7 linked regions of the Macaca fascicularis genome follow. The protein of the gene in region 5 purifies or fractionates together with the protein of the main gene of each other region. This does not show direct contact. Links are inferred from orthologs where the notes say so. Each region holds a gene or a part of one and is shown on either strand. Other genes may lie near its edges.

Region 1 (4,082 bases), on a different chromosome or scaffold from region 5:
AAAAAAAGAAAAAAAAAATCTGCAGGCCAAAAGAAAAAAATGCAAGCTATGATTAAACCATAAAGCGTTCTTATAAAAAATATGCTTTATTTTGAACAAGGGATTAGATCTCCTTCAGAAATAACTATTATATACAATGTACTTTAGGCAACATACTTTTAATATTCCAGGTTGCTGCTTCTGTATAGCATTTTCAAAAAAAATATCAATTTGGAATCAGAAAAATGTACAAGTCAGCAGTTTAGATTTCTTTAATAGCACCTTATCCACACTCCATGTACAAGACAATGAAGACATTCTACATTCCTTTCAAAAAAAAAAAAAATCAACTAAGCATTACTACAGTTCTCTATTTCAAAGTTGCTACTTAAAAAATAATTATTTTTAAAAGCATATTCAAAAATCAATCCTTTGGTTTAAAGAGGTTTAGGGGAGAAATATCTGAAACACAAACCTTTAGTCAGTCAAAATCAAAGTACAGAATCCTCTCCTACAAAACTGCTTCTCCAAAAGAATCTCAAGCATGTTATCTCTGTAACGTTATCATTCTTACTTAAGCTTTAAAAAAAAAAAAAAAAAAAGATAAAAGAAATGATATACCCTAAAAGACTGGCTATACATACACTTTCATACGTCTACACAATCTGTATATACACAGTCATTACCAGTCAGCATAATATATGATAATTTGGGAGATCTCTCTATTTGGTTATTTTAATTACCTGTGTCAATGTGATCACCAGTAACCACACAAAAACCATTTTAAATACCCCTTGATCAATATGTTTGCTAATCTGTGAAAGTCCCTGAACCTGACTGATACCAAATGATAAGACTGAGGAGGGAAAAAGAAGGGGCAAAAGGGGGTTTTACTCCCACATACCAAAAAAATCAAGGGAAAATTATCAAAATACTAAGAGAAAGAATTCCAACTTATAACTGAATTTTAAGATGAAATATCTGGATTAAAATATTTCATTTAAAAAAATTTACCTGATCTTACTAGAGTGGGATCAATGATACTATGTCACTCGGTCTTTGTAGGTAAAAATCGCGTGTGTTGATTTTTTGGTCTGTATTGTAACACATTTAATAACATAATACTTTCATTTGAAAAGTTGGCGAGAATTTGCATTTCTCCATTAGTCTCATAGCAAAAAAGCATCTAGGCCACCCATAATTAAATGTAACTAATTACAATTTGAACACTAAATTATTTATCCAGTGTAAACAAGGATTAAGAGGGAAATGATGCTTCTATCTACAGCGGGGGTTACAGAAAATAATTTCCAAAATGTATGTTCTCCAAAAGGGACTCACCTCCCCCTAAAAAAACCAGGGTACACAACTAAGTTGGGTGTTTTTAAGGATAAATTAAATAAACTGTTCAGCCAATTTTCCAATTATATTCTACGCTTGAAACGTAATTGCCTTACATCTGTTTACAAATCTTTGCTCAATATTTAAACAAATTCGTACTCTCCTGGGCACATAGCTATACATACAGTAATTCATGCACAAAGCACATATTTAAAGACCACGCACTGCAATTATTAGCCTAAACGCCAGGTTTAACAACGTGAATGTTTTCAGAGGTAGGTAATACGACCCAATAAAAAGCAAAGATGGCATTTACCACCAAATGTCACTGCCACCGCCAGGAAAGAGTTGCTGGAGCCCTATACATTTTTAATTTCGATGAATCTAGACGCCGTCGGCGGGTGCCAGGCTTCCACGAGAACAATTGACACCCTAACTGCTTCAAGATTAAGGCAGGCGATTCAAATCCGAAGGAAAAGTTGTCAATTATCAGAGAGAGAGCGCGAGAGAGGCGAAAGCAGATAAAAGCGATGTTATCAAACCGCCCAGCTTGTTGCTTTTGTGTGTGTGTGTGTGTGTGGATTCGTTGTTAGGACAGAGAAAACAGTTTTTAAAAGACACAGAAGGAGAGAAAGAAAAAAAAGCTTTCTCCACCTTCCGTCGGCTCGGTGCAATGGCTTTACGGCTCTCCAGCGTAGTAAGCCCCGAGAGGCAAGCGGCTGTCGATGTTTACAATCGCGGGAGCTTCGGGTGCAAGAGTCCTTTCCTGACACAATCGCATTCAATCAACTGTTTTCGGGCGAAATTGCAGGTGTCATTATGGAATTTAAAAAAATTCAAAAGGCAGGCGGGCGGGCGGGCAGGCAGCCGATCCGACAACGGGGAAGAGGTTGCCGATCGGAGGCGCGGGCAGCACAAGGCAAAGCCTTCCACATTTAGGGGGGAAAAAAAGGGGGGAAAGGGGAGGAGAAGGGGAGTGCAATTGCAACAGAGGGTGGGCGTTCGAAGTGCGACCCAGAATCCGCAGCTCCGAGACTTCCACATGCAAATTCCACGCCGAGCGCCGCGCTCACAAATGATTTTTAAAGAGCCAAATAAACACTGGATGGGATCCAAGGCGAGAAAGAGACGATCCAAAAGGGGGAGAATCGGCGAGAGGCGAACGGCGGGGAGACGCGAGGGAGGGGCGAAGTCCCGGCGGCGGGAGGAGAAAGTTGGTCGGCGGCGGAGGTCGGGGAGCCCCCCCTCCCCGACACAGCCCCCTCCCCGCAGCCCGGCTACTCACCAGCGAAAAGAGGTTGGAGTGACAATCCTCCAGGCTCGCCCCGTTCGCCACCCAGTTCGCTGCCGCAGTCATGATCCTCCGCGAGCCCGGCCGCCAGAGCGGGGCATGTCGGAGCGAGGCGTCCGAGGCGAGGCCGGGCCGGGCGGCGGCGCCTCGCCGGGGAGCGCGGGGCGGCCGGGCCGCCGCCGCCGCCGGGGGAGGGCGCGAGGGCCGGCGGGCAGGCGGGAGGCGCCGCGGCGACGCCGCGCCGGGGGCGGCGGGCCCGGGCTGGCGGGGGGGTCCGCGGCGGCCGCGCGGCTCCTTCCTGCTCGGGCGGCGGCGGCGGCTGCGGCGGCTTCGGCGGCGGCGGGGGGCGCTGTCCGTGCGGCCCGGCGCCCACCCCGCCTCTCAGGGCCGCCGCTGCCTCCCGGGCCGGCGCTGCGGGCCGGCCGCCGCCTCCGCCTTCCCTGCTCCTCAGCCGCCGCCGCCGCTGCCGCCGCCTTGTTTATCTCCAGCCACCGACTCCCCCTCGGCCCCCGCCGGCGCGCGAGGGGAGGCGAGCCCCGGAGCCGCCGCCGCCGCCTCGGAGCCGCCGCCGCCGCGGAGCGCGAACTCGCGAAGGGGGGGGTGCGGACGAAGCCAGCGGGCGACCCCGGCAGCCGAGCGACGTCCCCTCCTTCCTCTTCCTCCCCCACCCCCCCCTCCTCCCCAGTCAGCCTCGCTTCTCCTCCCTCCCCGGGCTCGCTTGCTCTGACAGCAATGGCGGCCGCCGACCGCGGCTCGGCCCGCCATTGGCTGGTGCCGGGTCACGTGACGGGCGCCGGCCGCGCGGGGGGAGAAGGGGGCGGGCGGGGGAGGGGTCCGGAGTGGCGGCGGCGGCGGCGGCGGCTCGCGGGAGGCGCTGCTGAGCCGAGCGCGGCCGGGTCCTCGAGCCGGGAAGAGGGAGGGAGGGAGGCGGAGAGGGAGAGAAAGAAGTGCAGGCGGCCGGGCTCCCCGGCGGGCGGCGGACTGCCGGCCCGTGGCTGCCGTGGGCTGCCCCTCGTGGCCGCCCCGCCCCCTCGCGGTGCACTGATCGTGGCGGGGCGGGACCGTGGGTCCGGGGCGGGACCGTGGGTCCGGGTCGCGCCCGTGGCGGCCGCGGAAGCGGGCGCGGGGCCCCCGGCCTGTGTCCCCGCAGCCCAGGCCGGCTGGCGTGGCGCGGCGGCCGCGCTGTGGACCAGGCAGCGGGTCCGAGTGCTCTGGGAAGTGTGTGTCTTCGGAGGCTCGCGCCGCCGTCCGCCTTATACAGAGAAAAAAAACTGAAGCACAAAGGGATTAAGTCACTTGCCCGAGGTCGCACACCTGGGAAGAGGAGTCCAGATTCGAACCCGCGCACAGTGAAGCCAAGCTCTTGGACTAGGTTTCACAGTCTTTGCCCAGGGATATTCACGGCTGCCACAGAGGGAGCGCTTACTGTGTTCCAGGCACTGTGCGTTTAATACAGAAATGTGTATTGAGC
Region 2 (4,142 bases), on a different chromosome or scaffold from region 5:
TTCTCTACTCCTCCATAACCAAACTACACATGTTGTCTCCCAATCTCGTATCACAATCACTTTTGCTTTATGTTACAGATTGATTTCCAATAGCAAACACTTACTTGTATCTCTCATAAACACTGACAAAATTAACACTGCTAAATACTAAACACATGGTATTATCCAAAGTTCCTGAATGAAATGATTCAGTTCCATATCCTTTTTGTCACAGTAAACTATGCAATTTTATATGGACACATTAACTTTTTTTTTCTTTTTTTTGAGACGGAGTCTTGCTCTGATGCCCAGGCTGGAGTGCAGTGGTGCGATCTCAGCTCACTGCAACCTCCGCCTCCTGGGCTCAAGCAATTCTTCTGCCTCAGCCTCCCAAGTAGCTGGGATTACAGGCGCACACCACCATGCCCGGCTAATTTTTGTATTTTTAGTAGAGACAGGATTTCGCCATGTTGGCCAAGTTGGTCTCTTAATTCCCCACCTCAGGTGATCCGCCCACCCTGGCCTCCCAAAGTGCTGGGATTACAGGTGTGAGCCACCGCGCCCGGCCTGTATGGACACATTAACTTCCCTACAACTATCACAGAAATTTCAAACCCCAGGTTCAAACCCAGTATCTTCTATGGCCATAATAACCTCTACTTACTCTACCTTAAGCCTAGATATACCATCCAATGAGAAGATTCTGAAGTGCTCCTTTACACTGGTATTATCAAAGTTTCAAGATATAACACCCTCTAACATCAGGTGGGGCAAGTATTCTATTAGAAGCAATATTATACTTAGAATTCGTGAGGTACTAAGGGCAGGCATGGTGCAGCCCTGAGTTTCCACCATGCCACAGTAGTGCATAGGATGATGCAGCCTCGACCTCCCAGGCTCAAGCCATCCTCCCACCTCAACCTCCCAAGCAGCTGGGAGTACGAGGCAAATGTCACCACGCCCAGCTAATTTTTGTATATTTTGTAGAGACAGAGTTTTGCCATGTTACTCCGGGTGGTTTTGAACTCCTGAGGTCAAGCAATCCTCCTGCCTTGGCCTCCCAAAGTGCTGGGACTACAGGTGTGAGCCACCACTCCCAGCCAACATTTTAAAACTTATAACATAAATTCAGATTACAGAAAAAGTGCATGCATATACAAAGAACACTTCATATTCTTCACTCAGATTCTCCAAATGTTAACATTTTCCTTCATTTGCTTTATTGGTTTCTCATTCCTTCACCCCTGAATACTTCAATGTGTTTTCCCAGGACAAGAATGTTTTCTTCTACCCACAGCACAATTACCAAAATCAAGGAATTAACATTGATCTGGTACTTCAAAACACAATTTTTGACACCTTACGTTTCATTCCACTCAAACCTTTTTAGGTGACGAGTGCTGCTCTGTACTTTCCTACACGATGTGCATTCCTGTACTTAGGTTGTCATTTTCCTAAGGCAACTACGTGACAGATACTGTTGTTTTATGGCCTCTCTAACATAATCTTCATAACAATTCTATGAATTAAGGTTGTTTGTTTTGTTTTTTGAGACAAGGTCTCAATCTGTCTCCCACGCTGGAGGGCAGTGGTATGATCAGGGCTCACCGCAACCTCTGCCTCCCGGGTTCAAGGGATTCACCTGCATGACCCTCCTGAGTAGCTAGGGACTACAAGTGTGTGCCACCACGCCCAGCTAATTTTTTATTTCTCGGTAAAGACAGGTTTTCACCATGTTGGCCAGGCTGGTCTGGAACTCCCGACCTCAAGTGATCCGCCCACCTCGGCCTCCCAAAGTGCTGGGATTATAGGCGTGAGCCACCACAGGGTCCCATGAATTAAGTTCTATTATCAATTTCATTTTAGAGGTGAAGATCCCAAGTCTCAATGAGGGGAAGTGTTGCCCCAGATCAAAAAGTTAATAAATGGTACAACAGGAATTCTTATCCCAGGTCCCTTTAGCTCCAAAGGGCAAGCTCTCTTATATCTCTAAGCCGTGAAGCATCTAATTGTACAATTAGAACTTGCATATTACAAAAATTATATTTTTCTCTACTGTCTCTCTAGATGGAACTTTTCAAAGGCGATGGAAGTCTTATTTTAATAAAACCAGAGCAAAGCATCATAACTGGTTCTCAGACTCAAGATCCAACATCTAGTGTTTGTTCTGGGGGAGAAGGCGCCTCACCAGAAGACGACAGATATTCCAGGGTCCCAGCCCCAGAGATTTGATTCATTCTGTCCACTGTGAATGGGCCCTGGTATGTCGCTTTAAAAACCTCTCCAGATGGACCTGACGATTAGGCTTGGTTGGGATCTACTGCCCTCGCCTGCCCCCGTATCTCAGCTGTTTCACAACTGCTCCCAGAAGAAGGAAGGGCAGGGAGGGCTACTCTCATGTTACAAAGGGCCAGAAAGGGCAAATAACTCGCCCAAGGCCACACAGCCTAGAAAAACAGCGGCGAGGGGACTAGACACCACGTCTCCCAACCTCCACTCCGGCTCGGCGTCCCCACACGGAGGAAGCCCTGGGACTGCAGCGCTAAGAGCCCCCTCCTCCAGGCTGTCCATCCCGAGACCTCCACGAGCGGCGGGGAGGCCGCGCTCTCGGAGAGACTCGGGACAGAAAGACGAGAGAGCGTCTTCGGAGGCCGAACTCCTCCATGCCTCCCCAGTTCCCAGCCCAGCACAGAGGAAACCGCGGGGTCCGGAAGAAAAAAACGCACACACGCAGGGGCCCCAAGCCGTTGCCGCCCACTCACCTCAACTCTGGCTTTACACTGGTAGCCGCCTTCCCCCTCTGCAGCCGAAACCAATTTCCGGTCTCCTCCTGGAAGAAGCCACCGACTCTGTCTTTGATTGGCTGTAGGAGCTGTCCTTTAACGAGATTCTAGATCCGCCTCAGACCGATCGCTCGCTATTGCGCCTGCGTATATTCGACTCCTGCCATCGCCACCCCTTTTACTGACTTTTAAAAGTAGTAAGTGAGGGTTGTTTCTTCGTTTCTTTAAGGCATAAAATTAAACAAGACATCTTATTGCTTTATTTTTTATAGACCCCTTATTGACTAGAAAAAATCTTATATTTTAATATGTAACATGCTCTTGTAAGACTTCCATGAATTTAGACATTTATGACGCGAAAATAACCTCCCAAAGAAAACCTAGCAAAGGTTGTTCGTGTGTTCCACCCGCTGCCCGCATTACAACTCTTCTGCTGACAGTCGCAGCTGGTAGTTCCATTCCTTTTGTCTTTTCTTTTTTAATTTAACCCATACAATGAAGACATCTTACATAAAAATTCGAAAATACAGATATGCAGGGTTTTTTGTTGGTTTATTTTGTTTTATTTTTTTTTTTTTTTTCTTTGAGACGGAGTGTCTTTCGCCCAGGCTGGAGTGCAGTGGCGCGATTTCGGCTCGCTGCAACCTCTGTCTCCGGGGTTCAAGCGATTCGCGTGCCTCAGCCTCCCAAGTAGCTGGGATTACAGGCATGTGCCACCACACCCGACTAATTTTTTTTTTTTTCCTTTTTTTGTATTTTTAGTAGAGACAGGGTTTCACCATGTTGGTGAGGCTGGTCTCGAGCTCCTGACCTACAGTGATCCGCCCGCCTTGGCCACCCAAAGTGCTGGAATTACGGGCGTGAACCACGTAGCCCGGCCTCCCCCATTTTAATTCCCCCGCACATATAAATTTATTTCCTGAAGAAATTCATCCTCACTGCTGACCCCAATATGTCCTGCACCCGTGACTTCCAATGCTTGTTCCCAGTCCTCGTTTTACTCCCTCTGTCAGCAGCATTTGGCACATTTGATTATTTGGATTGCCCCAGGACTCAGTTCTCCAACCACTTCTCAGTCAGATATCACCCAGATACATGCAGGCCCTGGAACACCGTTTCCTCTGCACTTCAGACCCTCATATCCAGTGGTGACAGACATCTTTACCCCGTTGCACTTTACTCAATTGCAAATGTTCAATCTAAGGAATCACCTTTTTCTCCTTTCTCCCATACCCCACCGAAACTACCATACCAGCCTTTTGCATTAGCTCTATTTAAAAATAAGTAAATAAAGTTCCAAATATGACTGACCACCGTCCCTACTGGTATGGTCCTATGCCATGCTGCCATTATCTCTCATCTGGATTTCTTTGATTTTTG
Region 3 (4,090 bases), on a different chromosome or scaffold from region 5:
AAAGATCAATTTAAAAAATTAATAAACAATAGTACAGGCAGTACTTAGCTATATAGAAATCAAGAAAACAGTCATAGATGACATTGCTTTATGATCAACTAAATGAATCTATTAGGGTAGAGTCCTTCTGTTGCTAAAAATTGTCACTACTCTATCAGAAAAAGCACTGATAAACAATGTTGCTAATGTGCCTTATGTTGAAATATAAAAGAATCCCTAAACTGACGCTACAAGGGACAGAAGTCCTAGGATTCTGAAAACGTTGATAAGGGTGCCAACAGAGAGCCCTTGCCCTGGAGCTGCCTTCTCCATTTATTTATTTATTTATTTATTTATTTATTTTTTTTTTTTTTGAGACGGAGTCTCGCTCTGTCACCCAGGCTGGAGTGCAGTGGCCGGATCTCTGCTCACTGCAAGCTCCGCCTCCCGGGTTTACGCCATTCTCCGGCCTCAGCCTCCCGAGTAGCTGGGACTACAGGCGCCCGCCACCTCGCCCGGCTAGTTTTTTGTATTTCTTAATAGAGACGGGGTTTCACCGTGTTAGCCAGGATGGTCTCGATCTCCTGACCTCGTGATCCGCCCGTCTCGGCCTCCCAAAGTGCTGGGATTACAGGCTTGAGCCACCGCGCCCGGCCTGCCTTCTCCATTTAAAAAGCAGGGGTGGCTGGGCACGGTGGCTCGTGTCTGTAATGCCAATACTTTGGGACACCAAAGCAGGAGGCTCGCTTGAGTTCAGGAATTCAAGACCTGGATGTACAAAACAGCAAGAACCCATTTCTATTTATTTAAAAAAGAGCATGGGGTTCCAGGGTTCTACGCTGCATCCTTTCTATTTCCATCCCTCACATATCTTGCTTCCATTAAGGAACACAGGAGGATCATGATGTGAACTGTGGGAAACAAGAGTGCAATCACTGAGAAACCTGCAAGAACCTGGGCTACCAGGAGGAAAAGTATTTCCCCTACACATGCTTTTGTATGAGAAGCCTATAGCCACTGGCTTCAGATATCCTGGCCTCTGGGTTTCTCCCACGGGGAAAAATGCTCACATCTACTGAGATAAGAAAAAAATGTTCTGGGACCTGGCACCTTACAACTAACGCCTCCACAAGCACTGGACCCATACCTTTCCCTGCTACCTCATCTTCTTCCAACGGAGACTTAAAACCTATGAAAGATAAAAACTCCTCTGAAACTAGACTAACCATGGAATTAAACATAGTGGGAAACGGGTCCTAAAGAGATAAAGTGCCTGGAACCATGATCTCCTTATTTTCAATAGCCTCTTTTTCCCTCTGGACCCAAGATCTTAAAATGGGCAAATTAGAAACAGACACAAGCTGGTCTAACTGCATTTGATGGCTGAGGGAAGGGTAGGCAAAAATCTTGGCCGGTCGCGGTGGCTCACGTCTGTAATCCCAGCACTTTGGGAGGCCGAAGCGGGCGGATCACCTGAGGTCTGGAGTTCGAGACCAGCCTGACCAACATGGAGAAACCCCGTCTCTACCAAAAATACAAAATTAGCCGGGCGTGGTGACGCATGCCTGTAATCCCAGCTACTCCGGAGTCTGAGGAAGGAGAATGGCTTGAACCCGCGAGGCGGAGGTTGCTGTGAGCCGAGATCGCGCCATTGCACTCCAGTCTGGGCAACAAGAGCGAAACTCCGTCTCAAAAAAAAAAAAAAGAAAGAAAGAAAAAGAAATAAAGAAAAATAAAGAAAATCTTTAAAAATACTGTTTCCTGATTGCTTATAACACACTCCCTCTAACCCTGTCTGCAGGTGGGTCACAGTCCAAAGACCCTATTTCCAACCCTGACGTCCCATTGCGGGCAGTACTATGGCCTCACGGGAAGGAAAATAAATCTAGAAGGGAATGAGGTACACAACCATTGATAGGTTCCTGGGATAAAAACTTTGCTTTGTCGGCCGGGCGCGGTGGCTCAAGCCTGTAATCCCAGCACTTTGGGAGGCCGAGACGGGCGGATCACGAGGTCAGGAGATCGAGACCATCCTGGCTAACACGGTGAAACCCCGTCTCTACTAAAAATACAAAAAACTTACCCGGGCGAGGTGGCAGGCGCCTGTAGTCCCAGCTACTCGGGAGGCTGAGGCAGGAGAATGGCGTGAACCCGGGAGGCGGAGCTTGCAGTGAGCTGAGATCCGGCCACTGCACTCCAGCCTGGGTGACAGAGCGAGACTCCGTCTCAAAAACAAACAAACAAACAAAAAAAAAAACAAAAAACTTTGCTTTGTCGACACCAGCCTGGCCAATATGGTGAAATCCCATTTCTACTAAAAATACAAAAAATAGCCGGGCGTGGTGGTGGGCGCCTGTAGTCCCAGCTACTCGGAAGGCTGAGGCAGGAGAATCGCTTGAACCCAAGAGGCGGAGGGTGCAGTGAGCCAAGATCGCACCACTGCACTCCAGCCTGGCGACAGAGCGAGACTCCGTCTTAAAGAAAAAAAAAAAAAAAAAAAAAAAACTTCGCTTTGCTTTCCCGCCTTCCAAGAGGAAGGGGCGCATCTCCGAGGAAACAAGGCCGGGGAACCCGCGGCTCGCACGGCATCCTCTCATCCACACAACCCGAGGACAGCTCCCAGGGGACGGCGGACCACGGTCAAGGTCCTCTTTTCGGCCCTTCACAACTCCAAGCTCCGCCCTACAAAACCCCCTGCAGTCCTACCAAGTCACTCCCATGGCGTCGGGCCAGGAAGGCGGCCGGATCACACGGTAGAAACGCAGGGTTCCCTATCCGCCCACAGAAACTGCTTCAGTTCCCCAACACAACCTTCGGTCTCGGAAGAGACTCCGGAAATACGTAAAAACAGAGCGCCGGGTCCACGCCTTCCCCAAGGAGTGGGGCGGGTCTCAGGGCCCCTCGGTGACACCTCTAGTGACATCATCTGCGGATTCCCGCCCACAGGTTTCTAAATCCAGACATTCTCGTTTGGCTGAGCACTCTAGGCCTAGACCCATGAAGCTAAGAGCGACACTCAAAGACTGCACTGTTGAGAGAAGCTAACGTTAAAGGCTGTAAATATATTGGGGAGTCCAGCACCGGAACCCGGGAGCTCTTTTAGTGGGAGGGGCGGCGCTGATGGCGCTTCTGGCCTCCGAATGCTAGGGGGCGCTGTGATCGCCGCGTGGCCTCTTGAGAGCCGGGAGTCCACCGCGCAAGCGCAATCTGGCTTTTTCGCCGTCTCCACGTGCGAACCTCCGCGGCAACGTTTTCGAGAAAAATGCCCAAATTGAAGGCGGCCCGTGGGGTCGGGGGTCAGGAAAAACATGCGCCCCTGGCCGATCAGATCCTGGCTGGGAATGCGGTGCGGGCAGGGGTCCGGGAGAAGCGGCGGGGTCGCAGGACCGGAGAAACGGAGGAAGAGTATGTGGGACCCCGGCTGAGCCGGCGGATTTTGCAGCAAGCACGGCAGCAACAGGAGGAGCTCGAGGCCGAGCATGGGACTGGGGACAAGCCCGCGGCGTCGCGGGAACGCACCACGCGGCTGGGTGAGTGTCTGGGATGAGATCCGAGGAAGACAGTGGCCAGTAGTGGGGCGGGGTGGACAGCTAAAAAGTGTCTGGCAGGGGAATTGCTTCGAGTCAACAAAGGGTCCGTATTACACTTGCAAAAGTAATGGAATGGGAGACTGAACCCTGTTCAGAGCCCTCCGCGTCCACTCCTAGTTTTAGGCACTCCCTTCTACACATCCCCTAAGTTAGGCCAACAGTAATCGCTCGCTCCACCCTAGCATTTATCCATTGGTTTTGTAAATATATATGGGATACCCACTACGAGCTTTGTACTATGCTCGGAGTTCTATCGAATGTTTGGGTACAGAAGTAAACAACATAGGCACGTCTGACTTAAGGACCTTACAGTCAAGCCCAGTAGAGAGTCAATTAAGTAGACTCTTAGAATAATATTTTTCTATGATAAAGTGTCGCTTCCCTGGTAACAATAGCATTGGTCTTGAGAAGCTTCTCCGATTGCAGCAGGACCTTTTAAGTTGAGAACTGAAAAACGAATGGGAAGTGTTATGAGCAGAAAACACATTGTTTAGCAGCCAAAGAGGGAGAGAGATGAAAGA
Region 4 (3,500 bases), on a different chromosome or scaffold from region 5:
ACGTGTCGTGGCTGGTCGTAAAGAACCCCAAGGGTCCCTTCGATCTTCTCCTTGGGTGGGGGCTTCACCTCCTTCTCGACATCTGGCTTCTCCGGGGATGGACTGCCCTTCCCCTCACAGGGCATAGTAGGGGAGAACAACTGAGAGAAAGGTGAGAAGGCAGAACATGAGAAGAAGGAAAGGGGATGAGCGGGGGTAAAGAAATGCCAAACGCAGGCATAATGGGAAGATCAAAGGAGCCAGATTCTGCCACGCTCAGGATTGAACTTACTGAGAAATCAGGCTTCTCCATGTCCTCAAAGAGCACACTGGAACTAGGGTCAATGTCCATAGATTCTGAAAGCCCTGGATCCTGAGGGCATAGAACATAAGCAAAGTTGCTTTAGCCCTAGGGAGCGGCTCCCACCATCTAGAAAACTTCACGGGGGAATTGGAGAGAGAAGACCAGATTGTGGAAAGCACAGGATCTGGAGTCAAGTCATCCAATCACTTAACCAGTATAGGCCTCTGCTTCCTTCAGCTTGAAAATGGGGACAAGAGTACCTCACAAGGCTGATGGGAGGAACCAATGAAACAATTGATGTGATAGTGCTTGGTCAATCACCAAGTGCTAAGAAAATACTACCCCCCTGCCCCACGCAAAAGACGCTCTTAGAGGCCTCTGGGAGCCATGAAGATAGAAATGTCAGAAGAAACGATCTAGGGCAAGGAAAAGCCCACTCACCTCCAGCTTGCTGCTGCTGCTGCCTTCAGCCTCCTTGTGCTCTGGGTCATCGGCAGGATCATCAAAGGGAGAGGGAGGCCGGGGACCAGGGGCTCCAAAGGCAAGGTCCCCTCGGGAGATGAGAGTGCAAGTATACATGTTGTGGGAGAAAACATCATGTCGAATCAGTTCACAGAACAGCAGTACTAAGTTAAAGAATTCCACCCGCTCACTCTCACTTCGGGGGTCCGCTGGAGGAAGGGAATGAGGAAACATGAGTTAGGAGAACACAAAAAGGTGGGCCAAAAGAGAGAGGGACACACCTAAGGCAATTAATAGGAGTGATAAAATAAAAATCCCAGAAACTGTCGAGGGACAAAGCGTGGTTGGTTACCTCACATGCTGCCCCACACACCATCTCAGAAAGGAATGTAATGTCTTTGTTGCGATTTACGCAGTGAAAATGCTTCAATCACAAGCTCTTGTTTTAATCCTTCTCTGTATTTCTCTACTTTAACTGTAAGATGATCAGTTAAAGAGGATCACTAGAACTACATCTAAAAGTCATTCTGCATAGAGCCCAAGAGAGAAATATACTTTTTGATGACAGTGGCGGGTAACTGAGTCTAGGCAGACGCAACTAGAGAGTGGTAGGGGTCCGTACTCAGCATGGGAGCCTGTGTATCCAGAAACTGCAGGAGGACATCCTGGAAAATGGGAGCACTAGGAGCAGAAAGGGAGCCAGAGGCGATGGAACCCTTCTCATCTGCGGCTTCTGATTCTCCACAACGCTGCAAGATGACAGAACAAATTGTAGAACTGACTTTTACCTGCTTCTTCACTCCTCAATGTGTAGGCCTTAAACTACTACCTGCTTGACCTCTACCCCATGCTTTTCATTTTCATTCCCCTGCTGACCTCCATCTTCTTTACCACCTCCCAACTGAAGCCTTGATGTTATCTCTAATTCTGATAACAATCCACTCTTCTCTACTTTCACCTCATGTCCGTAACTTTGCCTTTAGGTTCTCTTCCACTTCTTTCCTCTGTTCTCACACCTTCAACTCTGGTCCCTCCACCACCTCCATCTCTTGGTCTCCAACCCCAGTAAATTCCTTCCCATTGGCCAATCTCATTCTCTTATCTCTGCCCTCTAACCTCAGCCTCAATCTCCGCCTGTCTCTTCTCCAGGAGCTTGGCTACCACCATAGCACGATGCCGACCAGAACGCTTGCAGCTGACAGCCCATTCACATAGCAATGACACCACAGCATCATCATCTGAGGAGATCTGGAGACCAAAGGAAGAGAGGGAGGAGTAAGGTAGGGGTGGGGACAAAGAAATGAGTTCCAATTTCCTGAAGACTGCACTCCATCATAAAACATTCTGGGCCCAGTAAGATCATTTCTGCAGATATGCTCTGCTTTCAATGCCTCACCATGACTTCCCCTCAGATATATTATTGCTCTTGCAATGTTTTTTGCTCCTTCTATTCCCCTTTTCGCTTACCTCATGCCCATCCTTGCTAGGCCCCAATCCAAAGATTCGGTTACAAAGTGAGTCAAGAGAGTTGCTGAAGTCAGAGCGCTCAAAACTATGGCTATCCAGCACTTCCAAAGTATGAAGCACCCGTCCAATGGTGAAGCCTAAGGAGGAAAAGTGGTAAAGGGGACTGAACTAGAGGCCCAGTGCATTCTGGCTCTCAGATCTACATGTCCTTACTATCTCCATCCTTTCCTCAAACATACTTCCTATTATCTGTTCTCCGACACATACCTGCAGTAGCTTCCTGGCATTTATCGAAAGACCAGCGAACTTCAACTGCCTGTCCCCGCTCCTTGATCTGCTGCTCGATCTCCCGCAACTTTGCACGGACCTGCAATGTTAAAAAGGAAGGCTATAAGGATGTACCAAGGCATACAAAAGGCCAGAGCCCCAGGCTAGAAGAATAGTACCAGACTCCAAATCACTATTTCTGAGAGAGCACTTTAGCCTCATAGCCCAATCAGAGTACCAGGCGAGTGGTCAGACATACCTGCTGAGTGAAGGCACTGTTACCCTCTGGCATGGGCAGGTTGGAGGGGGCAATAGGCAAGTGGTCAAGTGGTGAGCCGGTCTTAATTCTGCTATCAGTCAGTGAGTAGTGCCAAACCAAGGCACTAGGACAACACAGGAGGATGGTCTGCCAGATAGAAACAGCTAAGTCCAACTCGTTCACATGGCTACCCCTCTGGAATCCCATTCTAAGACCAAACCCGTAGATTCCAGATCCAAAGTTATTCTGACTGGGCCCCCAAGACAGGCATCACTCCACCCGATCCCCTCCCTTCACTCACTTTCCTAAAAGGCTCTGGGCCTACTATTTAGCCCTGGAAGGGAGAGAGAGGCTGGTCAAAACCCCCAAAGGGGACTAACACCCCATTACCAAGAAACAACCACCTCCAAGCAAGTACTCAGCACCTACTCCCACATCCAATTTGGAATTACCCCTATACTCTGGGATGGGCACCCAATTCTTCTCAGGTTATCTCTCAATGCTTCCTTGGGCCCGCCTAGTACCTACCTGTAGGATACAGCTGAGGCCAAAAACCAGGGGCCGGTGCTGAGGGCACATAAGCAGGTCACTAAAGGGAGTCGAGGGGGTGCTGCTAGTTGGGGGCTGAGGAGCAGGGGTGGTGGGTAGCGAGCTTGTTGACTGAGCAGATATAACATGAGATGAGTGACTGCTCACACCATCTAGCTGCAGGGCCAGTCTCCGTGTACAAAAGTAGGCAAGGCGGCGGGACAGGTACGCAGA
Region 5 (3,977 bases):
CTCGTTCTGTCACCCTTGCTAAAGTACAGTGGCATGATCTGGGTTCAAGTGATCCTCCCACTTCAGCCTTCCAAGTAGCCAGGACTGCAGGCACACACCACGCCTGGCTAATTTTTTTTTTTTTGTATTTTTTGTAGGGATGGGGTTTTGCCATGTTGCCCAGGCTGGTCTTGAACTCCCAGGCTCAAGCGACCAGCTCACCTCAGCCTCCTAAAGTGTTGGGATTACAGGCATGAGCCACTGCGTCTGAAGGTTTTATGTATTTTTTTTTTAAGTCCCTTCTGTGTCCCTTTAGACGAAACAGAGACAAGCACATGTGATCAGCCCACTAGGTTTCACAGGTACGCTCTTGAGTACATCTCCCAACAATCCTATGACATAAGCATTCCCATTTCATAAGAGAAAAACAGGCTCAGAGAAGCTAAGCTACTTGCCCAGGTCACCCAGTCAGCACATTATAGAGCTATTACATAATCTAAACCTATCTTTTGAGGTCCACTATGGACATATTAGAGATAAGAAGATTATGGCCTAGAAAGGTTAGACATTTATATCAATATTAGAAGGCATGAAAATGTCAGTATACAGATTTGAACTCAGGACTGTCTAACTTCAAAGCCTCTTCTCTGTAGTATAACTTACTACTACATCTTTAAGGCCAGCCCAATCCAGCTGCTTTACCAGGGCTCAAGAATATACTCTTGGGGGGTTCAAGAGCTGTCTTTGTGAATGTGTACATTTTGTGTTTTCCTTTTTCCACATTTTTCTTAAAACCAGTAAACTGGGGTTAATCTGACTAAACCCTTTATAATCCGGCACTGCCCTGGGATTATAGGGGCTCCATATGTATTTCTGTCTGTGATCATTATCACAGGCTCACAAAAACTGAACAGGCTGTCTTATCCCAGAAACATTTTTTTAAATTTATTTATTTATTTATTTTTGAGACAGAGTCTTGCTCTTGTTGCCCAGGCTGGAGTGCAATGGCATGATCTCGGCTCAATACAACCTCCACCTCCCAGGTTCAAGTGATTCTCCCGCCTCAGCCTCCCGATTAGCTGGGATTACAGGCACCCACCACCACACCTGGCTAATTTTTGTTTTTAGTAAGAGACAGGGTTTCACCATGTTGGCCAGGCTGGTCTCAAACTCCTGACCTCGTGATCCGCCTGCCTTGGCCTCCCAAAGTGCTTGGATTACAGGCATGAGACACCACGCCCGGCCCTTATAAACAGTAAACACCAAGTGAAGCCAAATGAAGCCAGGGTCTAATGTGAGAACAAAGCCTTTGTAGTTATTTGAAAAGTGGCAGAAGAGCATCAGGTCATCCCACAGCAAGTGAATCTAGTTTGCTTAAACTCAAAAGTGGGTGGGCCACTAACGGTCAAGACCTTCACGTTGTAACAATTCCGTTTCAGTAAAACAGTGAAGAGCACATTCATGTTCACCTGAATGTTACTGGATTCGTAATTTTCTTTTAATTTACTTTGTGGTCTTTAATGGCTGAATAAGAGTTATAAGCCTAAGGGTTTACACCTACTATCACGTGGATATAGAGTGAAGTAACATAATGAAAATAATTTACAGCCTAGGCAACACGACTAAATTCCATCTCTACAAAAAGTACAAAAATTCGCTGGGTGCTGTGGCTCATGCCTGTGGTTCCGGTTACTTGGGAGGCTGAGGTGGGAGGATGGCTTGAGGCCTGGAGGTTGAGGCTGCAGTGAGACGAGATCACGCCAATGTACTCCAGTCCGGGTGACAGAGCGAGACCCTGTCTCAAAAAAAATAATAATTTAGGCAAACACGGGGATCAGTATAATAATTTAGGCAAACACGGGGATCAGTAAGACTTTCGTGCTTTTGTTTTTGGTTTTTCCTTTACAGAGTCACTTTGAAAACTCAGGCTACCCTAAAGGCTGGCCAAAAGGATGACAATTATCTCCTTTGGTACTGTTAGAACAAAGTCAGTACAGGTGGGTCTAATCATCTCAGGCAACTTCTGTGTTTTTGCTTAGTCTAATATTTCCCATCGCCACCGCTCCCCTCTCAATCTTTTTGAATTATGGGTTATTCCCAATCATGTCTTTTTTTTCCTTCTATGCCCCTTTTACTGTGTCCATCCCATAGCACTTGGCAGTGTCCCACACAGGGAAGATGATGCTTATCTGTTGAGTCTGTTGAAATAAGGAACTAAAGTGAGTATTACTAACATTAAAGGTGAGAAAACTGAGGCTTAAAGAGATTTAATTTGCTCAAGATCGATGGGATGCACGTTTGAGCCGCTGGACAAGAGTCTGTATGTAGTCTCTAAGCTGGCTTCATTCTTAAGGATATCGCACCTCTCGGGGCTCAAATCGTTTGCTTAACTCATGGAATGTCTCTGTGGTCTTGGGAAAGGCCTCTTCCCGCTCTGGGTCTGAGTTTCCCCATCTGCGAAACGGGGGCGTGCCCTAGAGCGCCAAGGCCTCTTGAAGCTCTGAAACGGCTGAGACGAGAAGCTGGAGGGAGTATGGGGCCTGGTCCTCTCCTAGGTTCTTACCATTTGATGATGCTGTGAACCAAAGGTAAAAAGGAGTAGTTCTCTTCCTCCCTCGCGCGGGCAGGTGACTGAGGCCGTGGCGCCGGCGACTGCTGCGGCTGAGGCGCAGGGACAGGCGGCGGCTGAGGGGGCGGCAGCGGCTTGGTGTCAGGCAGCGGCTGGTCGGACGTTGGCGGCAATGCATCCTCCGCCTGTCGCCCGGCTGCCACCCCAGCAGAGGCCATGGCTCCGGGGTTAGGTTAACCCAGAGGTCGGGTCGCCGACAGCGTCGCGAACTCTATACGTCACCACCGCGCGCCCTGCAGGGGCGCAGCGTGGAGGAAGGCTCTGAGCATGCGCACTGGGCACTCGGCCGGCAACGGGGCGGAGGCGGGGTGGGGAGACTGTTGCTAGGCGACGGGCCGTGGGTGGGTCTGGGGTGCCTGGTTTTGGGTTGAGTCAAGACCCAAAATTATTTAAATATTATTAAATAGTGAGAAATAGGGGATTTATTTCAGAAATAACAATTTTTTTTTTTGAGACGGAGTTTCGCTCTTGTTGCCCAGGCTGGAGTGCAGTGGCGTGATCTCGGCTCAAAGCAACCTCCGCCTCCCGGGTTCAAGTGATTCTCCTCCCTCAGCCTCCCAAGTAGCTGGGATTACAGGCATACACCACCACGCCCGGCTAATTTTGTATTATTAGTAGAGACGGGGTTTCTTCATGTTGATCAAGCTGGTTTCGAACGCCCCACCTCAGGTGATCCGCCCTCCTCGGCCTCCCAAAGTGCTGAGATTACAGGCGCAAGCCACCGCACCTGGCCATAAATAACAATCTTCTTATTCCTATTCACACGATGAAGAGGGCCCCAAAGCCACAAACACAGGAAGCCTTGAGGTCAGTAAGGCGCAGCCTGGCCCAGTGCACCCAAGTCTGGAGAGGAACCACTGGACCTGCAGGAGGCGTAGACAGCACTTACCTGCTGGCTGAGGCACCAAACCCGGCCCGGCCCACAGTGCGAGACATCGAGACCTCCTGCTTAGCCCTAAGGACGCAGAGGCAAAGGGATTGCGGTCCCTTCAGTGCTGCATGGCTGCTGAGAGTCTGATAATTCAACTCAACACACTTTTAGTATGCACCTGCTGGATGGCCAGGTGTAATGTGTGGTTGCAGGGAGGCTGTCCTTGCTTTCAATACAAGGTAGAGGGGATTCGTGCCAGGAATAAATATCATATCCTGGAAGAACGACAAAGTCAGGTACGCTCCATACCTTCGGGCCAGTTCCTCAAACCCCTAGGTCCCAGTTTCCTCACCCCTAAAATCATATTTAGTTCAGAGTCATGGCAGAGCCTAAACTGCATTCTAACTTCACATTCGTGGCTGACCCCAAAAGGTCTTGTTGGCATGAGGACTCCCTAGGATCATAGGCCAAAGATGGGTTTATGGTTATGCTTCTCAA
Region 6 (2,899 bases), on a different chromosome or scaffold from region 5:
CAGGCGCCTATAGTCCCAGCTACTCAGGAGGCTGAGGCAGGAGAATGGCATGAACCAGGGAGGCAGAGCTTGCAGTGAGCTGAGATCATGCCACTGTACTCCAGCCTGAGCGACAGAGCGAGACTCTGTCTCAAAAAACAAAAAACAAACAAACAAACAAAAAGAATGAGTCTGAGTCTGCAAAAATTACTTTTACCATTATATAAATTTTTAGCTGGACTTGCATGGCCAGTAATGATTTAGTGATGGCAATAACATGAGCTACAAAGAAAATAAAGTTCTAGGAGGAACGTATTTAGAAATATGAATTTGAAATACAGTTGGTTAAATTCACTAGTTCTTTCAAAAAGAATCTGTAACTCTTAATTCCTAGGCCAATGTCAGTCACCAACTGTAGTGTAGGACCCACAGAATACCGCATTTCCAACTGACCCCAGCCAGCACACCGCCTGGCACACAGCCGACATTCATTCCAAAGGAGTCATGAAACTATCACGTGGTATATTCATTCAGCAGACTTTACTTATTAGTTTTCAAGTCTTTCACAATGCCAATTCCCCCAAAATTAACAATGTCTCTCAAAATCCAAGAAATTCTGAAGAAATAAAATGTGTACTGTATTTACAAATACAAAATTAAAAAATTTTAAGATTATAAAAATTGAAGAATTATGTCATCTGTCAGGTGAGAGTGTCAATCTGCAAAAGCAATTATTTTTAAAAAAAGAAACTGGAGAATCAATCAAGTTCAAGAACTTTCAGATGTTATTTTCTTACATGGCTTCCAACTCATTTTATACAGTTAAGTTCGAATCCATAGCAAAGGTAATAAAACTACCAACTGACCTTGATAGAAACTATGGAAATTTATAACAAAATTTCAAGTCATTTTAAAAAGAATAGAAGCCTTGTTTGCTCCTACAACGCAACAAAGTCTAGATTCTTTTTCTTGATAAAAATCTTACTATTCTGAAAATCTACCAAGAGATTTATGCATAAAATATTTGTAATAACAGTTTTACATGTGGGGTGCCTTTAAAATAATATATCTGAAGACTAAGTATGTCATTAATAAAAAATACAAACAAAAACAACGGCTAGAATAGGAAAGACTGAAAGTGCCAATGACAAAAGTCCTTTGATCACAGATAACCTCTATGTTCCTATGTAGCTCTAATAAGTTGTTATGAATATGAACAACACGTATCTTACTTGATCTCTTAGAGACAAAAATATAGATAGGGAGATGGGAGTTATAAGGTGTCCACAGATTCATCATTTGAATCAAAATAAAACAATCTGAACATCATCACTGCTTCTATCACCATAGCGTGATCACATTCAGATTGAAAAGGTTTGAGTCCATTCTCAAAGACGGATGTATTTCCACTTTCTCCACAGTACAGTCTGGCTTCACTGAGTTACCGGTAAAGACACGGGCACCTGATTAGACTGAGGTGCTGGAGACCCACTGTTCATAGCTTGTGGAGGCACTGCAGCTGGTTCCATCTTGCTAATGTGTGTGATGAATCGAAGACGAAGTTTTAAAGCTGGTTTTAAGTTACAGATAATTTTCTCTACCTAAGAAATAAAAACACATTAAAACGTACTTTAATCAGAGAATTTCAACTTCTCACATTTAAAGCAGGATTTACACATATCCTGAGACAATAAACTAAGGAGTGGCGTGGGGTAGATGAGAAGTTTCTCAACATGTTCTGTGTTTTACGAAAAGCAGATACAATTCTTTCTTGCATGAGAAACAACACATTCTCCCTCACACACACCCATTATATATTCTATATGCATGTTTGTACATGAACCATATGTATATTCATATATAGGCATATACTTACAAAAGTATATCCACTTATCTAGCTAGCCAGTCATCCCACTACCAAAAGCTAGCAGAGTTTACACAGGAAATTTCATACATCCAACAAGCTGATCATTCTTTTAAAATGCCATCTTTACAGAAGCATGAAGCATAATTATATTTTAAAGTTCTTTGAATAACTCATGTCTGCAACATTTATATACAAAACTAATTATTTTTGTTTTGATTTACACTTGGAATTAACTAAATAATATTAGATCTACTCTTTTGAAAAACACTAAGGACACAAATACATCAAGTCGTTTCACAGCTTTCTTAGCTTTACTCAAATGCTCTTTGACCTTTTCCTTTCTGTACTCCCTTGTGTTAAAGTTTCTTAGGCCCAAATATAAAGAATACTTTTTTTAAAAAAAGCAATCAATTTCTTTTATAGTTTCTCTGCATGTTCTGTGTTGTAACAAAAGCCAATATAATTTCTCTCTTTCTTACATGAGAGAGAACAGGTCAACTCTCTTTGACACTGCTGCTGAGACATAAAGGAGTCAACCTCCTTGGTATCTCAACCCAAAGAATTGGGAGGGGTATCTCAACCCAAAGAATCAGTTATGATTCAAGGTCTTTTACTACTTTCAGACATCCCTATTAGGAAGTTCCTCTTCATATGCTAAGTCAGGATGTCCTCCCTTTAACTTTCCCAGAATTCATACACCCTCTAAAGTGACACAGAACAAATCTAATCCCTATTCCAAATGAAAACCCTCCAAAATGCTGAGGGCATAAATAATGCCCTAGGACTTTTTTTCTTCAGGTTAAGTATTCCCATATTCTTTAAATGCTCTTCATGAGTTAGTCTCTAGTCAGGATTAGTCTAGAATCCTGACTTTAGTCTTCTAGTTATGCTGTGGTTTGTCTAATGTCACCATGAGTGTTAGGAGAAGTAGGACCTCCTTTTCTCATAACACAACAACTTCTCTGCTCGTATTTCAGCAGCCATATCCCACTGTTTCTCCCTAATGAGATTATTATTAATTAACCCTCTAGGTCTTTTGGGGGAAAAGTACAA
Region 7 (4,024 bases), on a different chromosome or scaffold from region 5:
GGTCCCCGAGGCCCGGTCCCCCAGCCGGGCCTGCAGCCCAGCGTCATGGAGGACGACATCCTCATGGATCTCATCTGAATCCCCAACACCCAATAAAGTTCCTTTTTAACACACGCCCCGGCTCCCGTCACTGACATCCCCCAGGACTGGGCAGGAGGAAACCCCAGGGGGCATCTCTGTCCTTGTTCTCACTTCAGCAGATATCCCTGGGGCCCTGGGTGGGTGACGCCGGGGCCTCCGTGGTGAGTCAGAGGCAGTCTGGTGCAACCTGGTTCGTGGGAGATGCAGGGACAGGCAGGCAGCGCTCAGGACTCAAGCTCTCATGGAGGTGGCGGGGCACCATGGGAGCCTGGAAGAGGTGTCTGACCCAGCCCCAGCTCCTCAGTCTTGAAAGAGAATCAGCTGTCAGGCCGGGAGGGAAGGAGGTGAGGGGTGATCTGGGTGCAGAGAACAACAGAAACTTTGAATACTCAAAGACAGGAGGAAGCCTGGGATGTTGAGAGGAGCAAATTGATGGATGCTTTTGGAGCATGAGCGTGTAGGGAGCTCATGTGTAGAGAGATGGGCAGGTGCAGAGTTTGAGGAGCTCAGATGCCAAACTGAGCAGCCCGTGGTTTGTCCTGGGGACACAGGAGAACCAGGAGACTTTGAGCGGTGGGGCGGGCTTAGGCCGGCTCTGGATGTCAGAAAGAGCCCTCTCAGCTGTGGAGCGTGATGAGACCAGACAGGAGGCCAGGAAGGGTGAGGCTGGGTGGTGGGGATGCTGGGGACTGGGGTAGAGGTTGGCTTCTGGGGTCAGGCCTACGTGATGGTAGGTGGTGGGGCTCCTGGGAGAAGGAGCTGGTAGTAAGTGTACGTGGTCCAAGGGACGTCCAGGTGACAGGTGCCATTTTGGGAGCTCAGGACGTGTCCTTAGAGGACAGTGTATGTTTGGGGTTCAAGCCACAGAAGCAGACAAGATCGCACATGGAGAGAGGGTGGTCCCTGGGTCCACATCAGAGACTGACCTTCCAGGGCTGTGGACGGGAAGACGGTGGGTCTGTCCCCAGGATGGAATACCCAGCAGGGAACAGGTTTGGGATGTGGCAAGGTGAGGGACCTAAAGGATGGCCTCAGAGACATCCTGAGGGCAGGGGATCCAGACAGGCTTGGAGCGCAGGGCGGTCTCTCCTGGAGGTGGAGAGTGAGTTGTCTGTTGTCGGACTCTGGACCAGTGTTGCTGAGAGCGCGGTCCATGCCTGGACCACCAGCATCCACATCATTTTGGATGCTGGTTAACGTACAGATTCACAGGCCCCACCCCAGGAGAGAGATTGCAATCTGGTGGCCTATGGGCCATGGTGCAGATGAGTTTTGTTTGGCCTTCCCTGTGTTAGCATATGTGGCATTTTTTTCTTGAGTTAGTTATAAAAATCAGGTTAATACACACACACACACACACACACACGCAAAATCTGCAGTCTTGGCATCTTTTGACAAGTCAGAAGAATTGGCACCCCTGGGCCCGCCCTTCTGCCTGGCAACAACGGGCTGGAGCTGCCCCTCTCCATGGGGCGTGTGCTCTCCGGTTCGCCACAGTCCCCACCACTCCCTCTTGGCTCCCCTGTGAGGCAGAGAGTCACTGCCTTTGTCACGGGGCTTGCACTGTGGTTGTTCTGTGGTAGCATTCAGAGGAAAGTGAAATCTTTCTTGTACTCATGTCTGTATCACAAGCGGCAAAACGAAAGAGAGAAGGAGAGGGCCGCGTGTTTCGAGAAAAGTGGGAGCGAGCCTATTTCTTTGTGGAAGTGAAGAGCATGCCTATGTGTTTAATATGCAAACAAATCGTGTCTGTGTTGAAAGAATACAACCTGAAACGCCACTACGAATCAAAGCATAGCAAGAGCTACGACCAGTACACAGAGCAGACTCGAGACGCCATCCTCAGCGAACTGAAAAAGGGACTCAAATGTCAGTAGGGTTTGTCTTGAAAAGCGAATTAACAGAAGTGGTGCGGCAGTGGTACGCCGTTCCGGAATCACGTGAGAAGAATGACCTGGGCATTCAGAGCTACAGCAGATGGCGAGTTGATAAAGGAGCAGAGTGACGTGTCCTTTACAGAAACACATGACTGTTGAGACCATTATTTAAGTCTAACGGGCATTTGCGTTGCACAGTGAGTTGGAGATAACTCGGGGGATTTAGAAGTCCAGTTGCTTGAAAGAGTCAAATTGATTGTGGCCTTTTCTTTCGCTGCTCATAAACTATTACCACCCAGTTAGCTTTATTTATTTGTGGTGTTAAGAAACTTGATGTGACTGAAGAAGTCTGTGGCATGGTGCCAAGGCGGGCCCAACACTGGGAAAGGACTCATTTTTTTTTTTGTATATTGAGAGAAAAGTTTCACATAGACTGGCCAGAGTTCTGAAGCACAACTACAGACAGCTGTCATGACAGGGGGACTTGACAGGACACCTTGAGCCAAGGTGACAATTTGGCAAGGACACGGAAGTCGGGTCGTTGCATCCATCATCAGGAGTTGACTTGTTCTGAGCAGCTGAACAGAACACACCGTGACGCTCTCGACACTTCCGCTCCTGGGCTTTAGTCACGAGTGAGTTGATGATGACTTGACCTGAGAGATTTCACAGAAGCTCTGTGACTTGGTTGTGGAAGAAATTGAAACTGTACAAGTTAATCAGCTTGGTTCATTTTAAATCAAGCAAAAGCCACAGTGGGTTCCCCTGAGAAGGTTAGTCAAAGACTTCTGGTCAAGGTTATGACCGTTCTGAACACTGAATATTTCTCTGCAAGGATGTCCACAAACAGCTACTTGAATGTAAGATGGTATATGCTTGGTCCTGGCAAAAACGGGGAATCCACCAGCAAGGAAAAAAAACATTTACTCTTTCCTACGCCACAGTTGGCTTTCAGAAGTGAAAGACGTGGCCTGGACTATATTCACCTACGTCCTGGGGTGGAAGACCAAATTCCCCCAAAGGCCCTCGGAATCCAGACTCATGAGAAGGAAGAGACACTGTCCAGTTTGCCTTTGTTGGTAAATGTTTCTTGTGTGAATACAGACCATAAATAGTAATTGAACTATGGTGCAATACGGCGCTGGTTCCTAAATACAAGTCTGTGTGAAGATGGTGAGATTCTACAACTATCTCCAGTAGTTGTCCTGAATATCCATGTTTGGGAGTACCCACGCTTGTGAACAGCTGTTTTCCGTTACGAACCTGAATCAAATTAAACATTGTTCCCAGTTTAAGGATTCAAGGCTGAATTCTAAACTGCCCATCCCCACCGTGCCACCCCAAGGCCTGACACATCTCGGTGTGGAAGGGAAGACGCCAGCCTTTTGGCTTCAACTCAAAGGCGCAAAAAGAATTATGAAAGAGAATTTTAATAATTAAATATTTCTATTTTTCAATTTGTATTTTTTCAATTTTGAATTTAAAAATATAAACTCCAGTATCATCCATGTTTGTATTATGTTCCATGCATTCACCATAGTTCAGTAAAGATCCGATTTGATGATATTTCTGGCCGTCGACTTTTCTTATACCTGGCTAGTTCACTCATTTATGTGACCCGCCTGGCCCCTGTAGGCATGTGAGTTTCCCATCCCTGCCCTGGAACTGCTGGATCCAGCGGGGGGAGGGCGGGGGTGTGGGAGTCGTGTGAGCAAGCTCTCTAGGCGATCCTCAGGAATGTGCGTGTGGAGCAGGAGGCACTGGTGACAGCGAAGAAGTGAAAGTGGGGGATTTCCCAGGCAGCCTGTGTAGCAGGGGTTTTTGAAAACTCAGATGGCTTCAGGGACCAGGCAGGTGATGAAAATGTGTGAAGCGGACGGGTGTAAGACAACAGGGAATGATGGGGACTGTGGCGAACTTGGAGAGTGCTTGCCCCGCCTAATGGCATTCAAATTGAAACCAAAAACACTGTGAGGACCAAACAAAATCTGCCTGTGGGTCTAATGAGGCCGCCAGGCCGCCATTTTGCGACCTCTGGAAGAAGGAGAAGACTCGAGAACAAGGAC

What was found.
Region 1: the proteins of MED9 (region 5) and MED13L purify together in Homo sapiens (affinity purification with mass spectrometry; 5 studies listed by BioGRID and IntAct, with this or other methods). This does not show direct contact. The link is inferred for Macaca fascicularis from reciprocal best matches to the Homo sapiens genes MED9 and MED13L.
Region 2: the proteins of MED9 (region 5) and MED7 purify together in Homo sapiens (affinity purification with mass spectrometry; 5 studies listed by BioGRID and IntAct, counting the BioPlex papers as one, with this or other methods). This does not show direct contact. The link is inferred for Macaca fascicularis from reciprocal best matches to the Homo sapiens genes MED9 and MED7.
Region 3: the proteins of MED9 (region 5) and MED20 purify together in Homo sapiens (affinity purification with mass spectrometry; 6 studies listed by BioGRID and IntAct, with this or other methods). This does not show direct contact. The link is inferred for Macaca fascicularis from reciprocal best matches to the Homo sapiens genes MED9 and MED20.
Region 4: the proteins of MED9 (region 5) and MED12 purify together in Homo sapiens (affinity purification with mass spectrometry; 6 studies listed by BioGRID and IntAct, with this or other methods). This does not show direct contact. The link is inferred for Macaca fascicularis from reciprocal best matches to the Homo sapiens genes MED9 and MED12.
Region 6: the proteins of MED9 (region 5) and MED23 purify together in Homo sapiens (co-immunoprecipitation; 3 studies listed by BioGRID and IntAct, with this or other methods). This does not show direct contact. The link is inferred for Macaca fascicularis from reciprocal best matches to the Homo sapiens genes MED9 and MED23.
Region 7: the proteins of MED9 (region 5) and MED25 purify together in Homo sapiens (co-immunoprecipitation; 3 studies listed by BioGRID and IntAct, with this or other methods). This does not show direct contact. The link is inferred for Macaca fascicularis from reciprocal best matches to the Homo sapiens genes MED9 and MED25.

Annotation. Positions count from the first base shown.
Region 1 is NC_088385.1:123,225,482-123,229,563, forward strand, and holds the start of MED13L (mediator of RNA polymerase II transcription subunit 13-like), read right to left. Parts: upstream 2,801-4,082; 5' UTR 2,678-2,800; coding exon 2,606-2,677; intron 1-2,605. UniProt on the Homo sapiens protein: Component of the Mediator complex, a coactivator involved in the regulated transcription of nearly all RNA polymerase II-dependent genes.
Region 2 is NC_088380.1:163,931,908-163,936,049, forward strand, and holds the start of MED7 (mediator of RNA polymerase II transcription subunit 7), read right to left. Parts: upstream 2,801-4,142; 5' UTR 2,742-2,800; exon of another isoform or gene 2,346-2,741; intron 1-2,345. UniProt on the Homo sapiens protein: Component of the Mediator complex, a coactivator involved in the regulated transcription of nearly all RNA polymerase II-dependent genes.
Region 3 is NC_088378.1:129,647,976-129,652,065, reverse strand, and holds the start of MED20 (mediator of RNA polymerase II transcription subunit 20), read right to left. Parts: upstream 2,801-4,090; 5' UTR 2,700-2,800; coding exon 2,686-2,699; exon of another isoform or gene 2,063-2,685; intron 1-2,062. Other genes in the region: BYSL (bystin), read left to right, coding at 3,242-3,509. UniProt on the Homo sapiens protein: Component of the Mediator complex, a coactivator involved in the regulated transcription of nearly all RNA polymerase II-dependent genes.
Region 4 is NC_088395.1:77,823,137-77,826,636, reverse strand, and holds part of MED12 (mediator of RNA polymerase II transcription subunit 12), read right to left. Parts: coding exon 3,267-3,500; intron 2,886-3,266; coding exon 2,739-2,885; intron 2,580-2,738; coding exon 2,480-2,579; intron 2,350-2,479; coding exon 2,213-2,349; intron 1,994-2,212; coding exon 1,862-1,993; intron 1,495-1,861; coding exon 1,368-1,494; intron 955-1,367; coding exon 725-954; intron 353-724; coding exon 272-352; intron 141-271; coding exon 1-140. UniProt on the Homo sapiens protein: Component of the Mediator complex, a coactivator involved in the regulated transcription of nearly all RNA polymerase II-dependent genes.
Region 5 is NC_088390.1:17,577,514-17,581,490, reverse strand, and holds the start of MED9 (mediator of RNA polymerase II transcription subunit 9), read right to left. Parts: upstream 2,801-3,977; 5' UTR 2,767-2,800; coding exon 2,543-2,766; intron 1-2,542.
Region 6 is NC_088378.1:35,557,851-35,560,749, forward strand, and holds the end of MED23 (mediator of RNA polymerase II transcription subunit 23), read right to left. Parts: intron 1,581-2,899; coding exon 1,413-1,580; 3' UTR 501-1,412; downstream 1-500. UniProt on the Homo sapiens protein: Required for transcriptional activation subsequent to the assembly of the pre-initiation complex. Component of the Mediator complex, a coactivator involved in the regulated transcription of nearly all RNA polymerase II-dependent genes.
Region 7 is NC_088393.1:57,821,044-57,825,067, forward strand, and holds the end of MED25 (mediator of RNA polymerase II transcription subunit 25), read left to right. Parts: coding exon of another isoform or gene 1-78; exon of another isoform or gene 79-113; intron 114-1,713; coding exon 1,714-1,958; 3' UTR 1,959-3,524; downstream 3,525-4,024. UniProt on the Homo sapiens protein: Component of the Mediator complex, a coactivator involved in the regulated transcription of nearly all RNA polymerase II-dependent genes.